3 linked regions of the Sus scrofa genome follow. The protein of the gene in region 2 interacts with the protein of the main gene of each other region in a biochemical or structural test. Links are inferred from orthologs where the notes say so. Each region holds a gene or a part of one and is shown on either strand. Other genes may lie near its edges.

Region 1 (5,126 bases), about 2.8 Mb from region 2:
TCTTTTGTTGAATGTCTATACTGCATCTCAGGGTGCAGGAGTTGATGAGAAGTTTACTAATTTATCTAATCAGGGATCCAACGGTGTCAGTCAAAAAGAGCCTTGAGAATTTTGGGGGGCTACCAGGTTCAAGATAAGCTGCATCTCTCTTGGGCTTCCTGTGACATGTGGTGGTTAACTCCTGAATTTTGTGTATTCTTATCCCTGGGTGTTCATCACACTCAAAACCAAATTGTTTAAATTCAAGAGTAGTTTTGTTCCATGCTTATAGCATTGTCTACATTTCTGCAGGACCAAGCCACAAATAAAAACCTGCAGGTTTGTGTTGATTGAGTGACTTAAGGTAAACAAACAAGTTCAAATGCCTACTGGGGCCAGATCAAGTAAATGAGAAAAACAAACAGCAGGGAGCGTGGCCAACCTGAGTGACCCCGCCCAATGTCTCTCTACGGGGAATGGCAGCCTCCAGCCCGCTCTGCTCTTTAGGAAAACGGATCCTGCGTTGTCAGGAACTAATGATTTCCTAAAGGAAGCCAGAAATCTGGACTTTTAATGTAATCTCTCCATTTTTAAATGTTGGAAAACCAATTCGAATTTTCACAAGACATCTGGTAGACCAATACGGAGAACCAAACCAAGCACTTCTAGAAAGTCATGGAGCTCTAAGCAACCAATTTACAGCCTCTGCATTATTCAGGGCAGATAATAAAAGAACACTCTTTTTCTAAAACACTGATTCCTGGTAAGGCGGCAGTGGGTAAGAGGGCTTGCTCGGTATGGGCCTGCCAGGGTTCAGATTCTGCCACTGATCTCTGCCTGTGTGAGCTGAGGCAACTCGATCTCTGCAAATTTCAGCTTTTGAACCACACGATCTAAAGTGGCCACACGATGCTAAGAATGCCAGCTTGGTAGGGTAGTTCTGAGGACAGAATAGGAAATGCCTGCGGAATCCCTTAGCATGAAGGGGTCCTCAATACCTATGACCATTCCAAATGACTCCTCCTTTTTACAAAAACAAAAGTATTCAAGTGCCAGCCAAACATCGTGCAAATAACTTCCTATTCCCAGATTCCTCATTCTTTCCTCCACCAAAGCATTGAAAGTTTTCTACACGATGACCTACTCTTTTTTTGTGTTACTAAACATCTACAATGGTCAGGAGACCCATGGGGAATAAACGCTCTACTTTTTCAACCCAGCCGTGAATTAGTTAGCCCCCTCCCTCATTCACATTCCCTCCCCCTCCCAAATCTAAAGTGTTTGCTCGCGTGCTCCGAGTTTTCAATTTGCAACAATTTCCCAATAGTTTCAGTTTCAATCTGGTACTTTTCTCACTTGGCTTCTGGTACCATCTCTATGGTTATTAAAGTTTTCTTCATTTCACGTCCCAGAAACTTCCTAAGTTCTCGGAGTTTGAAAACTGTCCTCTTCTAAACTCTTTTCGGGGTTTGTTTACAGACGTCGCTAATTGCCCATTTCTGATAAGGACGAAGCTCCAGGATTCCCCATCCCCAACCTTCTGCTAGGAGAACCTTTCTCCGCTCGCGACTCCTACACCCCGACAAGTCTGCAGCTGACTCGTTTGTCAAGGAAGTAATTTCCAGGCTGGGCCTTGCCTCTCCCGCCAAGCTCCCGGCGCCCCCCGCCGCGGATCGGCGCCGCCGCAGGTCGCCAGCGGGTCCCGGCGGGTCGCGCTGCACCGCGCGCTGCGCTGGGCCAGTTACTCGCTCCCCCCGCCCCTTTGCGCGCTGGTCCGAGGGGGCGGGGACAGGGGCGGGCCCGGCGTCAAGTTTCTCTACGTCACTGGGAAGTCCCCATTAGGTCGGAGCGCGGGCAGCGGCGGGAGCGCCAACCTCAGAGGCTTTTGGGCGTTCAGGGTGTTGCTTTTCTAGCTCTCTCCCGCTTGCTCGCTTCTGCCCGACCGCCCCGCGCGCAGCCTGCTACCTGCAGAGCCAAGGTGCTCGGGTCCGGGGACTGAGTTCTCGGAGTTTTGCGGCAAAGTTCCGGCTGCTGTTTGCGGAGATGCCTGGAAGGAGGTCTCGTAGGAACACTCAGACGAACCCTACGCGGGTGGCCCTCCCGCCAGGTAGAGAGCAGCTGGGGCCCGCGGAGATCCTGACCCGGGGCGGAGGCTGGGGTCGAGGTCTCGGTCCGGGCGGAGTCACCCCATGTGCGCCGGGCCTCAAGGTCAGGCCGGCGCTGTGCCCTTGCACATGTTTTAGGGGCGCCGGCAGGAAGTTCTTTAGGGGTTTAACCGCGGACCGTGGATATGACCAGGGAGGGAGTCCGGCTTAGGGTTGGGATGCAGCAGCATTTCAGAGGATGCTGAGATCAGCTTTCCCATCCCCACTTGTTCTGCCCCTGGGCCATGGGAAGAAAAAGAGCAAGTACGGGCGCCAGCCACGCGGAGAAAGTCATTGCCATGGCGGGTGGGGCCGAGAGAGGCTCCAGGAGCTTCCTGGCCTCCCAGCGTTTTCTGAGGGAGGCCCTCTCCCTCCCGTATTCTGGATCTTTTGAGCCTTACCCCCCTACCCCAGGCAGTAATAATGCTTGATACTATCACAGGCCTTCCACAAAAAACTGACGGAGGGGTTGGAGGTCCCACAAGGACTGGTGAAATCAGGATAATAGAAAGTTTTTCTTCTTTGTTAGAAGTGTAACATTTTAACAATCGATATTAGCTGCAGAAATGGGGTAGGAGAACAGGAGTTGGTCCGCAATGTTTTTCAATCCACCCGTTCCTCTGCCCTTCCCCATCCGTGTACCTCATCAAATAATTTAAGGTCGGTTTCCTTATAAATCTTATCAAATGGAGCAGCCATCTGCTCCTAAGGAGCAGTTGCAAAGAAGGCAAATAAGTCTCTGAGCTGGAAATCTGTGTGGGTCATACTGCTGTTACATCAGATGGTAATAGGCCGTTTTATACTTAGTTTAACTTTTTAGAGCCCATGGACCGCTCAAAGGAAGTGGTGCATTGCCCGTGTGGTCATGGCAAAGCTGGCACCAGGCTGCTCTCTTGACTCTTGCTTGGGAGGGAAGAAACTTTGCCCGTCTTTTGTGCTGGCCCAGAAATCTGGCCATGTTTCAAAAAATTTCCCATCATCTTCAAGAGCCGACTTACTCCCTATTAATAAGAGACAGCAGAAAGGTCCCTCTTAAACTTGGTTAGACAGTAATACAGTAAAAACAACAAAAAAACAAACAAAACCAAAATTAAGGTATAAGTGACATGTAACATTGTATTAGTTTTAGATGTACACCATGATTTGATATATGTGTGTACTATGACATGATTACCACAGTAAGTTTAGTTAACATCGATCACCACACAGTTACATTTTTTATTAATACATTTATAGATGTAACAAAAAATTAATACATTTATAGATGTAAAAAACAAAAAGGAAAGAACTAGGTGCTATTATCTGCCCTTTTTAATGAAAGGGATAGTTTTTCCTCTTACAATTCAGGGCTTCCAAAATTGTATGCTAAGTGATAATTTGTTTCTGTTTTTGTTTTTTAGGATAGCATGTTAATATATTCCACTCACTGAAAAAAACATGTCTTTGTAGATACTTCTCCAAATGCTTGACGCCGTAGCCTATAAAGAAAGATAGCTTACAAGAGATTTATTAGGTCTCAGAGATTATATAAAGTTTTTTTTTTTAGGAATTATGAAAATTTAACTCAGCTCTTAGGAAAAGATAAATTGGTTGAAATGTAGGTTTAAAAATCCACTTTAATATATATTTACAGTTTTTGTTTATCTGAGCCTAAATAGGCTATCTGCAGGGTCTGCTTATAAAATAAATCAGATTTTAACTTACAGTCATAATTTTTAGTGTTTATAATCATGATGTTGAATTGAACCAAAAAGAAGCGGAATTGTTCTTGGAAATATCCAAGAAAATTGAAATTATGACCAGTATAGATTTGGTGTTAATTCCATCTACTTAAAAAGTTCACTTGGAAATTAGATTATAAAGATTCCCCCCCATACAATATCTTAAAAAGTAGTAAGTATATGAATTAAATATTACTTATTTTGTGCTTCACTTATCTCCATAAAGGCAATGGATTGGTACAGTTTGGGGAGACTTTGGCTTAGACTCATGTGTAAACTTATAATTATTTTAGAAAATGTGGACTTCATTTTGGAATAAGATTTTATGAATCCTTCAAGAGAAAATTTCATGAGGCTAAGAATACATTTAGATTTGCCTAGTATGAGGGCATAATTTGAGCTATGAATTATTGGTTGCCATTTACAAAATAAATTATACTCAAAAACAACATAGAAGAATTTAGAATTTGACTTGTCTCTAACCAATTTTAAATGAGAAAGAAAAGGATGACATCAGTTGGGTTGGCAAAGGCTTGCTGTTTGTGGTGTGTGACATAAATGTCTATATTTGAAAGTAAGATAACATTTGCCTCATCCAGGATTGCAAAATAAATGTCTTTATTCTTTAACTTTTGGTTGTTTATGAATCACCGTGTATTGGTGTATGTCACGTGTGTGTGTTTGAGAGGGGCAGCAAGTAGCCTTTCTCACATTTTAGAAAACAAGTGTGCTTAAAAGGTAAACGCTGGGATAAACACTCAACTTGTCTCTGGGATGAACGTTTTAACTCTTGCTGGTTGCCGTTTGCAATGTTGTCAGGATAACTTTGATGTTTTCTTTTTCAGATCCTGAAGTCGAGTGTGCCATTCAGTTCAGAAGGATTGGAGACAAACTGAACTTCCGGCAGAAACTTCTGAATCTGATAGCCAAACTCTTCCGCCTAGGAACCTGACTTCAGAAGCTTGTGAATGAGGAGACTCCTTTAAAATGGAAGATTCCCCAGTAGGTGCAGATTTCATCAGTTAGAGGAGAGAATGCCTTGTAATGGAGAAGAATGTGAAGGAGCTCTCACTTGCTTTTGGATGCCCTAGGAATCGAAGACGGATGGGTCAAAAATGAGTTTCTGCTGAAGGTTTTCCAGAAGTCGATGTTTCGGATGCAAGAACATTAAAAAATGACTTTGTTAATTTTGAAGCAGGAATGGGAGAGTTATGAAAATAGGGGAGTTATTATTTATACATTTGGTTTTTGCTTTAGAGTCTTGTTCTAGTCTTTTTGCTGA
Region 2 (5,314 bases):
GGACTCCTGACTCAGACCAGTGCTCCCTCCACTAGCTGAACAATACCCAGAAACAACCAGTTAATTCCACTCTTCCAGGGAGTACTTGTCTTACCCTTTAGGTGGAATCTAATAAACATGAATGGAGGAAGGGTTTCATTCTTTTGATTGAAAGTATCCAGAACATTCCTCGGGAACGTACAGTACTGCTTTGGTCAAGAACTAATGCAGACCTGTCCTAAGAGTGTTTGATTATGGTCAAGATGCTACATAAATGTGGAAGAATCTGTAAAGTGAGGTTCTAAAGTAAAAGAAAAAAAAGGAAGCTTTTCTTTCTCTGGGAATAGGGTATCTGTTTCCTTCCGGTTGCCCGCTCTGTAGAAGTACAATCTCTTTTCCAGCTCTGGCCTTTCATTTCCTTACTCACATGCTGGGTCTCAGAAGCACTAAGGCTTTCAGTTCCCCTTAAGTAATCTTGAGGGTTTGACAAGGTTCTCAAACAAGGTTCTCTCATGATTCCTAAACCGTGATGTGTGGCATTAGCACAGGTTTCTGCTCTTTATGTGAACAGAGAGCCCAGATCAATCGATACCCAGTGTCTCTCTCCAGGACAGCATACCTCCACGCCGCTGCCATGGATAAAAGGCGACACTGTCACAGTTGGGAGGCAGGAAGTACCATCTTCATTCATTCTCTCTTGCCAGGATAAGACATTTGTACCAGACATCCATTCCTATATGCAAGAGGCTTGGCATTGTTAGCTGATTGGCTTTGATGGGTGAAGAAAGGAAAATAATTTGCTGTGCTTATTTTGCCAAAGAATGAATGCTTTGATTTTAGATTAGGAATGAGACAAAATAAAGGTAGTGTGAGAACATATTTGTACTTGTGGCAGTACTCACGTGTCATGTTTCTATGATCACAACAATCCAGTATCCCTATATGTTTGTTCTTGAGTTCTATTAGGTAAGCTACCCTGCTATTTGTAAATTTTTCTTGGTGCTTTATTTGTCAAAGACTCTTAGAGATAAAAATAAACACATGCCACTTGTTTGCTCTTTGTGCCTTTCTCCTGGGGGCTGTTCATGCTTGTGAATAAAAAAAAATGTGTATATAGTGCGTGTGCGAGTCTGTGTTTGTGTATAAATAACTCGAGAAGGTGCAGCTATCTAGATTGGCTGCTAGGTGGCCGTGGACCCACTTACCCTGGTTTGGGGGCTTGGGGCCTTAAGGTAGCCCTGTAGCCTCCCACGGTAGCGTGGCGGGCAGCCCCTAACCCAGTGCCCAGACTGTTAGTAGAGGAAAAACATTGACTTAACCACTTGAAAGCCCTTGGTATATACCCCACTAATCCCTCTGCCGGGCCACTGAGAGCTATGTCTGGCTTTGGTCATGGATGGTGTCACCGAAGTGTATTCTCTGCGTGGACACCTAGGAAGCAACTTGAAAGTAAACACACGCTTGGGGCTTCCCTCGCTGATGAATGTGCAGCAGCGTCGCCTCCGTTCGGAGGGCAGCGCTGAGGTCTCTTTGCTTCGGTCAGCATCTGCCAAGCGCTGGTGTGTACACACACAGGGGCTGCTGTGTGTACACACACACAAGGGCTTGTGTGTACACACACACACACACACACACACACACACACACACGGGAGCGCGCGCGCGGTTAGGGCCGAAGTGATTACTGGCGCTTGTTTTCTTGGCGCCCACCCCCGTCCCCTAGCAGCCACCCATCCGGCCGCGTGCGGTTCCCCCGGCGGCCCTGGCCGCTCGCCGGGCCCTCCGAAGGCCCGAAGAGGCCCCGCGCACACCCACCGCGCCGCGGCCGCGCGGGAGGCCTGCGCCGCCCGCGCCACCCACCGGCTGGGCCCAGCGGGCAGGCTGAGCGAGCGGGCGGGCGGGGGCTGTCCCGGGCTCGCCCTCCCCGGCCGCGGCCCTGCGCGCCATGTGTCCCCGCGGGGCGCGCCGCTCCAGAGCCGGCCGCGGCTCCTTTAACCCAGGGAAGGGGAGCGGGGCGGAGGGGGCGGAGGGGGCGGTGGGGCGGCTCCGAGGAGGGCTCTTTCTTTCTTCTTTTTTTGAATGAACAGTGTGACGTACATACAGGAAACCAGTCGGTTAGAGGAGAATGAAGTAAGAGGCCAGCCCCCCCGGCCCCGCGCCCGCCCCCTTCCTCCCTGCGCTGGCCCCCGCCCGCCGGGCTCCCGCCCGCCAAGCTCGGTTTCCCCGCCGAGCCGCCGCCGCTGCCGCCGCCGCCGCCGCCGCCGCCGCTGCCAGCGAAGGTGCCGGGAGCCGAGCCCTCCCCGCCGGCGCGGCCGTCATCGCCCTGAGCGGGAGCGCGGGGGAGGCGGGCGCAGCCAGCTCTGCCGCGCAGGAGCAGGAGGAGGAGAAAGGGTGCGCAGCCCGGAGGCGGGGTGCGCCGGTGGGGTGCAGCGGAAGAGGGGGTCCAGGGGGGAGAACTTCGTAGCAGTCATCCTTTTTAGGAAAAGAGGGAAAAAATAAAACCCTCCCCCACCACCTCCTTCTCCCCACCCCTCGCCGCACCACACACAGCGCGGGCTTCTCGCGCTCGGCACCGGCGGGCCGGGTGCGTCCAGCCTTCATTTATCAAGCAGCTTTTCGGAAAATGCATTTGCCGTTCGGAGTTTAATCAGAAGAGGATTCCTGTCCCCGTCCCCGGCTCGTCCACCGGCCCCCGGTCCCTGTCTCTCTCCCGTGGAGGCGTGAAGCGGCCCCGCGGATAGAAATCCATGTCCGTGCCCGCGCGTGTGTGTGCGTGTGTAAATTGCCGAGAGGGGAAAAATCACAGGACTTCTGCAAATCCCGGACTGAAAATTGTAATTCATCTGCCGCCGCCGCTGCCTTTCTTTTCTCGTGCTCTTGAGATCTCTGGTTGGGATTCCTACGGATTGACATTTCTGTAAAGGAGAAGTCTGGGAATCAAACTGGAAATTCTCCTAATTTTTACACCTCCTCCCCCAGCTCCTGATTCATTTGGAAGTTTCAAAGCAGCTATAACTGGAGAGTTCTGAAGATTGATGGAATCTTTGCCTTATGCATTTGTTTTGTTTTCACAAAAAGGAAACTTGACAGAGGATCATGCTGTCCTTAAAAAATACAAGTAAGTTCTTTGCACAGAAAATTGGCTTAATGTAACTTTCAATGGAAACATTTGAGATTTTAACTTTTAAGTGCATTCGAGTAAGTTTAATTTCCAGGCAGTTTAATACATTCTTTTCAGCTGTGTAACTTGTAGTGTGTTAAGCCCTGCTTTCACCCAGTGTATAAAGGGAAATGCACCTGATTTTGACTGATTAGTTTTTTTAACCTTTCAGCATCACGGGGGAAGTAGACTGATATTAACAATAATTAATAATGTGCCTCATGAACTAAAGATCCGAAAGGAATTTAAATAAAAATTTCCTGCATCTCATGCCAAGAGGGAAACACCAGAATCAAGTGTTCCGCGTGACTGAAGACACCCCCTCAACCAAGAATGCAAAGCACATCCAATAAAATAGCTGGATTATAACTATTCTCTCTTTCGGGGCCGTGGGGTGGGAAGCGGGGGCGAGAGGTGCTGTTGGTACCCGGCTGCTTTTCCTCTGGGAAAGGATGGCGCACGCTGGGAGAACAGGGTATGATAACCGGGAAATAGTGATGAAGTACATCCACTATAAGCTGTCGCAGAGGGGCTACGAGTGGGATGCCGGAGACGCGGGCGCCGCGTCCCCGGGGGCCGCTCCCGCACCGGGCATCTTCTCCTCCCAGCCCGGGCGAACCCCCGCTCCCGCCAGGACCTCGCCGCCGCCGACCCCGACCGCCCCCGCCGCCACCGCCGCCGCCGCCGCCGCCGCGGGGCCTGTACTCAGCCCGGTGCCACCTGTGGTCCACCTGACCCTGCGCCAGGCCGGCGATGACTTCTCTCGTCGCTACCGCCGCGACTTTGCCGAGATGTCCAGCCAGCTGCACCTGACTCCCTTCACCGCGAGGGGACGCTTTGCCACGGTGGTGGAGGAGCTCTTCAGGGATGGGGTGAACTGGGGGAGGATTGTGGCCTTCTTTGAGTTCGGTGGGGTCATGTGTGTGGAGAGCGTCAACCGGGAGATGTCGCCCCTGGTGGACAACATCGCCCTGTGGATGACTGAGTACCTGAACCGGCACCTGCACACCTGGATCCAGGATAACGGAGGCTGGGTAGGTGCATGTGTGGTTGAATGTGAGTCTGGGCTGCGCGTTAAGGGTCTGAGATGCAGTGGTTGGAGTGTGGGTGGGCTGCTCGACCAAGGGCGGGCGGATGAGCCAGTGCTATAAAATCAGGTTTGTGGCTTCCCTCCCCATTTCCCCTGTTCAGAGCTCTCTCCCTGCCAACCGTACTGTGATCATTCCTTCCCGCCAAAACTGTTTGCCTTGCTTGCCAACCGTTGAGTTTCAAAGATCCAGGCTTTGCTATTCAGTAGGCTCTTGGGATAATGGTATCCCTTCAGTGTTTTTCAAACTGGGAGTCCAAGGATCCCCAGCATTACTGTACCTGGCCTGAGTAGCTCCTTGAAATCAGAGACAGGGCCAACTCATAAACTGACCTCAGGCTGGGCCCTGGGAATCTGCATCAGAAATAAGCCCCTCTGGGGGTTTCTTCTTTGTACTAAGATGTGAGAACCACCCAATTAGAAGAACAGACTCCCCCAGAAGACCAAGGTCATGCCTTCTCCTCACTTGGTAACATCTACCCAAAGAGGAAAACCAATGGAGCCTATTTCCCTGAAAATCTTGGATGTTTGTGAAAAGGTAAATTGTAAGTTGACTTTCCAAAAGTCCGGCCATTCCAAGCTGCAATGTGAGCCACATTCCCAGTGGGCATGACCCATTGTCTTGAAGAACACTCATCTATGGGTGTTTATTTCATCAGTGGCAGAATTTGCATTCGCTGCACGCTTTGTGTTCTATTTCTATAACTTGTGTATGATTTTGAGGTTTACTGGAATTTTACTGTCTTACTTTTCACCAACTAGAATTCACATCATTTTGGGTCTTCTCTGCTGGATAAACGTGAATCTACAGTATCTATATAAAGCATAGAAGAATTGATTCTTAGCTATGGATTCCTGTGCTCTGACTTTAGTTGAAGTGATTAATGCCTGTATCTTTGAAGAACATGTGTGAGCATATTTTTTTTTTTCTGGTATTGTGCTAGGTAGAGCCTTCATTATGTCACCATAAATTTCTTTTTGGGTGTATGATTCTTTGGGGGTGGGGTACAGGTCCTAAGACTGAAGAAGTGTAATTGAAGTCTATACTTTATATATCTAAAATTATTAATTTATGAAAAACCAAGAAAA
Region 3 (5,232 bases), on a different chromosome or scaffold from region 2:
GGGTAAGTGACTCCAATGTGCAGATAAAAACACTGAGGTTCAGAGATGAACAAGGAATAGTCCAAGTCCCTCAGACATAGGACTAGCCCAAGGTTTATTTGATGTTCCTTCCCAGGCAATTTCTCACATAATTCCACTGTCCTATCACCTCTTCTGGCCGGCCAGCATTCCTCCCTCCCTCCCTTCCTTCCAAAATGATTTCCCTGAATACCTTGCCCCCCCACCTTTTGTATCAGGCACTATATAGGCCTCGGTGCTAAGACACTGAGAAACAGCATACCCTTCCCTGATTTTGAAGATCTTCCAATCTATTGGGAGAGGCAAAGGTAAATCAACTGATGGTACAGACACAAGTAAATTAGCTATGAAGTGGGGGTTCACTGTACCAAGGATGCAGCCAATCAGGACACCTGGCTTTGCTTTGGGGTGGTCAGGGAGGGCTTCCTGTAGGAGAGGACTTCACAGCTCCTATCTGAAAAGTTACCTCCAAAAGCCAGTTACATCCTCCACTGTTAGCTACCTCCAAAAGCCAGAGTCTCACTCATTTACTAATTAATTAATTCAATTATTCATTCATCTCTTGAACTCCTTTAGGCCCTATTGGAGGTATTGGGGACAAAACAAGCAAAATTCTTCCCAGGATGTGGAGTTCCTGTCATGGCTCAGTGGTTAACAAACCCAACTAGGATCCATGAGGTTGCAGGTTCCATTCCTGGCCTTGCTCAGTGGGTTAAGGATCCAGTGTTACCATAACTTGTGCTGTAGGTCACAGATGCAGCTCAGATCTGGTGTTGCTGTGCCTGTGGCATAGGCTGGTGGCTACAGCTCCATTTCGACCCCTATCCTGGGAACCTCCATATGCCCTGGGTGCGGCCCTAAAAAGACAAAAAAAAAAATTTTTTTCCCAGGATGGAGCAGAGTTGGGGAAAGCAAAAGTATGAACATGATCTGGAAGAGGGTACTGCTGGGACTAAAACAAAGTAGAATGATGGAGGAATAAGTGTCCCCCACTTCAAAACAAGAGCCATAAAAACCCTTCTAGGGAGTTCCCGTCGTGGCGCAGTGGTTAACGAATCCGACTAGGAACCATGAGGTTGCAGGTTCGGTCCCTGCCCTTGCTCAGTGGGTTAACGATCCGGCGTTGCCATGAGCTGTGGTGTAGGTTGGAGACGCGGCTCGGATCCCGTGTTGCTGTGGCTCTGGCGTAGGCTGGTGGCTACAGCTCCGATTCAACCCCTAGCCTGGGAACCTCCATATGCCGCGGGAGCGGCCCAAGAAATAGCAACAACCACAACAACAACAACAAAAGACAAAAAAAAAACAACAAAAAAAAACCCTTCTAATTGATGCTGCCACCTCTTCTGGGGCCATGGGCACCTTATCACACTCTAGCAGAGGGTGCCAGGAGGATGGACTACTCCCAGTGGCCCTACTCTCTCTCAACAACTCACCTAGCCATTACTGAGTTCCTCCTGTATTCATTAGGCTACCTTCTCGGAATTAGAGGGACTACACAGCGGGGCGGAGATTTGTGTGTGTGCCCTTCTGCACGTCGTTTGCCCTCTGGGCCTCAGGTCTACATTTGCAACTAGGGGTTTAGGGTGGGTCAGCAGTCCGAGTTGCCCTGACAATCGAGCCTGTGCTCTTTAAGGAAATACCATTTAGTGCTGTCCTCCAGTGGATGTTTATCCCCATTTTGCAGATGAGCAGAATGAAGCTCAAACAGGAGTTGTGAGTCTGACCAGGCTGTGCGGCGCTGACCTGCAAACAGTCACAGATCTACAGCTCCCTGCCCCCGCCCGGGGGTGGTGCTGTGGCCTCTACCCCTTTAAGAACGCCCCACGGATACAAGCAGGAAGGGGGCGGTGCCTACGCCCGAGACGGACGTGCGTGCAGACCAATGGACGCTGAAGTCACGGTGGCGGCGGCCAATGGGCGCGGTGAGGGAGGGGCTGGGCGCCAGAGCCTGGTTCCCGAGGCGCGGCGGCCGCGGCTGGGGGCGGGGAGGGGGGCGCAGGACCCCAGGCGGGGGTCCCGGAGCCGGAGGCACGTGTCCCAGGGCGCCGGCGGGGCCGCGGCGGCCGGGAGCGCTGCCCGGGCTTGGGCTGGTCCGGGGGCCGGCGCGGCTGGGGCTGCAGCCGATAGGCTGGGTGAAGGGCCGCGGGGGAGGCGAGCCGGGGGGCCCCGCGGGGTCGGAGTGCCGGAGGGGGCGCGGCCGGGCGGGGGCTGCTGGGGGTGGGGGCCATGGAGGGCCATGGGCAGCGGGTGGGGGCGCTGCTGGTGAAGACGTGCAGAGTCGGGGGTGCCCGAGGGGTGCGGGGGGGTCTGGAGCCCCAGACGTGGCGTCAAACATGCGTGGGGCGTTGGGGACTTGGCTGGGAGGTTGACGGAGGGCCAGGCCGGAGCAGGGGGCGGCTGGAGAGCGTAGGGTGTTATGGGATAGGGATGGGGGCGTCTGGGGACATTAGGGTTTTCAGGGGAGAGAGAACGGCTGTGGGGGGAGCTGGCCCGGGCTGGGGGCGATGGTTGGGGTGGGGGGAGGGCTACTTACGCGGGCGCAGGGGATTGTGGGGTGTGAGGGCTGGGAGGGTCTCAGAAAATGAGACCCTATCCCAGAAGGAACAGGCAGGTGAGCGTTAGGAAGGAGATGCAGTGGGTTAGAATGATGGTTCTGCCACCTCTCAAGCTTGGGGCCTGGGGGTGGGGGCCAGTTCTTGATGGTCCAAGGAAAAAGCCTTGGGGGTCTCAAGCACTCCTGTGAAGGAGGCTACTTTGAGAGGGTGGTAAGAAGGCCTGACGAGTGGAGAAAGCCCTGCTAGGGAATGGTTTGGGTGGTTTGGGTCAAGGTCTCTGGTGTCGGGGTTGGCAGGGTATTAGGTTCAGTGTATGGAAGGAAAGACTGGCCTTTCTGGGTGGCTTTCTTGAGGAGAAGGGACAACTGAGGGTGGGGAGCCCTGGTAAAGATTCAGTTATTTTTCCCTTGGGCTCTAAAAATAGCCTCTTCAAGATCTCAGGGGTTGTCCCTCTGAAAAAGAGCCCCAGTACCTGCTCTGAGCATTTCATTAGATAAAGCCCCAGGTTCAAATCCAGCCCCTTGTGTTTGGCTTGTGTTTTGACCTTGGACCAATAGCTTTGGCTTTCTGGGCCTCAATTTCCTTTTCTGCTGAGGGAGGTGGGGGTGGGGGTGATGGGATATTCCCTACTTCCCAAGGTGTTGATAAAGATTAAGTAATAATTGTTTCTAATAATAGCTAACACTGTTTGAGCCTGATGCCCAGGGCTTGATGAGTGGGTTGTTAAGTCCTTTGGACAAACCAGGGTTGTTACTGTACCCACTGTATAGAGGAGGAAACCGAGGCCTGGAGTCCCTGAGTCACACAGAGCAAGTGATTGGCAGTGTGGGGAGTGGATGCAGAGGAGAAGTTGAAGGCTTGGTGGTATTTTTACCTGCATCCATTTTCCCTACCAGGGCCAATTCCCGTCCCCCCAGCAGCATGGCGTCCTGTGCTGAGCCCTCTGCTGCAGGCCCTGAACCCACTGCCCCGCCACCTACTGGAGCCCCACCACTTGAGGACTTCGAAGTGTTGGATGGGGTGGAAGACGCAGAGGGCGAGGAGGAGGAGGAGGAGGAGGAGGAGGACCTGAGTGAGCTGCCGCCACTTGAGGATGTGGGGCAGCCCCCAGTGGAGGAGGCCGAACAGCCCGGGGCCCTGGCCCGAGAGTTCCTGGCCGCCATGGAGCCTGAGCCTGAGCCCGCCCCAGCCCCAGACGAGTGGCTGGACATCCTGGGTAAGGAGCCGGGGTGGCTCGGGTTGGACCACGGGGCCCAGACAGCTCAGGTGCGGGAGTGACCTTGGCCTGGGCTTTCTACCCTGAGCCTCATTTCCCTATCTCTGTTTTGAGGTAGGTTGGAAGTAAAACGTGTAACCACCGTGATCATCAGCCACAGGTAGTTGCTTGAGACACTTCATGGCTCAGAGAGGCTGAATCACCTGTACAGGGCCACACAGCCAGCTCAGCAGGCTCTGACAGCTTTCAACCCCCGCTCCTTTTCTTGTCATTTGTCTGACAAGTACCTGTCCCTAGAAAAATGTTCTGAGGTCAGATAGACCTGTGGAACATCTCATTTTATTCATCACTCTGTCAGGTTCAAAGTATTCATTAGTGTTATTAGTGTGCTCATTGTTTAGAACAGTCCTGCAAGAAAGAAACCAGGAGAACCCACACATGTGCTCCTGTCCCCTATAACCCTTCCAGCACCTCTAGAAAATAAACATAATGCTACTAGTTCTGATATCTAATATACTGAATAATGCTAATGTCCAGACAAATAACAGTGAAACATCCTTCCTGCTACCTTTAATATTAACAATACAGTAGTATCAAATAATGCTGACAGGAGTTCCCGTCATGGCGCAGTGGTTAACAAATCCGACTAGGAACCATGAGGTTGCGGGTTCGATCCCTGGCCGTGCTCTGTGGGTTAAGGATCGGGCGTTGCTGTGAGCTGTGGTGTAGGTCGCAGAGGTGGCTCGGATCCCGCATTGCTGTGGCTGTGGTGTAGGCTGGTGGCTACAGCTCCGATTAGACCCTTAGCCTGGGAACCTCCATATGCCGTGGAAGCGGCCCAAGAAATGGCAAAAAGACCAAGAAAAATTAAAAAAAAAAAAAAAAATAACGCTGACACTAATGAAACAGAATTGGTACTGATTTCGCTTCCACCACAGGTATAACCTTTACTACTCCTAAAGATAACAGCGGGTAGTATTTACTGAGCCCTGGTTTTGGGCCTGTGCTTCGTCTTATTTTATTGTCATAACAACCCCATGATGTAATTCCTAACGTATCCCCATTTTATAAATAGGGAAACTGAGGGTCAGTGAGGTGAAGGCACTTACTTGCCCAAGGTCGTGCAGCCTCCTTGGCTGCATTAAAGTTTGGAAAGTTCTTCTGTGCTAATACTAAGATCTGCACTGCACCCTGTGTGAGCATGAGGCTGGCTCCGTTTGTTTTTATTCAAGCCAGCTACTTTCTGAGGTCAGAATTCAGGCTTCTAGACAAAGAAACTGAGCCTTGGAGAGGGGATGTGATTTACCCAGAGTTTACTCGCTCTGGATTAAGACCCTACCAGCACATCCGCTATTAGTGTCCAGAAACCTCAAAGATTCAGGGGGTCCCTTGGTATCCACTAGATCAGTGGTTCTCAAACTGCATGCAGGAGCATGTATAAAT

Evidence for each region.
Region 1: the proteins of BCL2 (region 2) and PMAIP1 interact in a biophysical measurement, tested with the Homo sapiens proteins (2 studies listed by BioGRID and IntAct, with this or other methods). The link is inferred for Sus scrofa from reciprocal best matches to the Homo sapiens genes BCL2 and PMAIP1.
Region 3: the proteins of BCL2 (region 2) and FKBP8 form a complex in vitro, tested with the Homo sapiens proteins (4 studies listed by BioGRID, with this or other methods). The link is inferred for Sus scrofa from reciprocal best matches to the Homo sapiens genes BCL2 and FKBP8.

What each region holds. Positions count from the first base shown.
Region 1 is NC_010443.5:161,184,858-161,189,983, reverse strand, and holds the start of PMAIP1 (phorbol-12-myristate-13-acetate-induced protein 1), read left to right. Parts: upstream 1-1,845; 5' UTR 1,846-2,022; coding exon 2,023-2,086; intron 2,087-4,689; coding exon 4,690-4,796; 3' UTR 4,797-5,126. UniProt on the Homo sapiens protein: Promotes activation of caspases and apoptosis. Promotes mitochondrial membrane changes and efflux of apoptogenic proteins from the mitochondria. Contributes to p53/TP53-dependent apoptosis after radiation exposure. Promotes proteasomal degradation of MCL1.
Region 2 is NC_010443.5:158,335,155-158,340,468, forward strand, and holds the start of BCL2 (apoptosis regulator Bcl-2), read left to right. Parts: upstream 1-2,248; 5' UTR 2,249-3,590; coding exon 3,591-4,172; exon of another isoform or gene 4,173-5,314. UniProt on the Homo sapiens protein: Suppresses apoptosis in a variety of cell systems including factor-dependent lymphohematopoietic and neural cells. Regulates cell death by controlling the mitochondrial membrane permeability. Appears to function in a feedback loop system with caspases.
Region 3 is NC_010444.4:59,254,620-59,259,851, forward strand, and holds the start of FKBP8 (peptidyl-prolyl cis-trans isomerase FKBP8), read left to right. Parts: upstream 1-1,926; 5' UTR 1,927-2,046; intron 2,047-2,334; exon of another isoform or gene 2,335-2,424; intron 2,425-3,469; 5' UTR 3,470-3,494; coding exon 3,495-3,789; intron 3,790-5,232. UniProt on the Homo sapiens protein: Constitutively inactive PPiase, which becomes active when bound to calmodulin and calcium. Seems to act as a chaperone for BCL2, targets it to the mitochondria and modulates its phosphorylation state.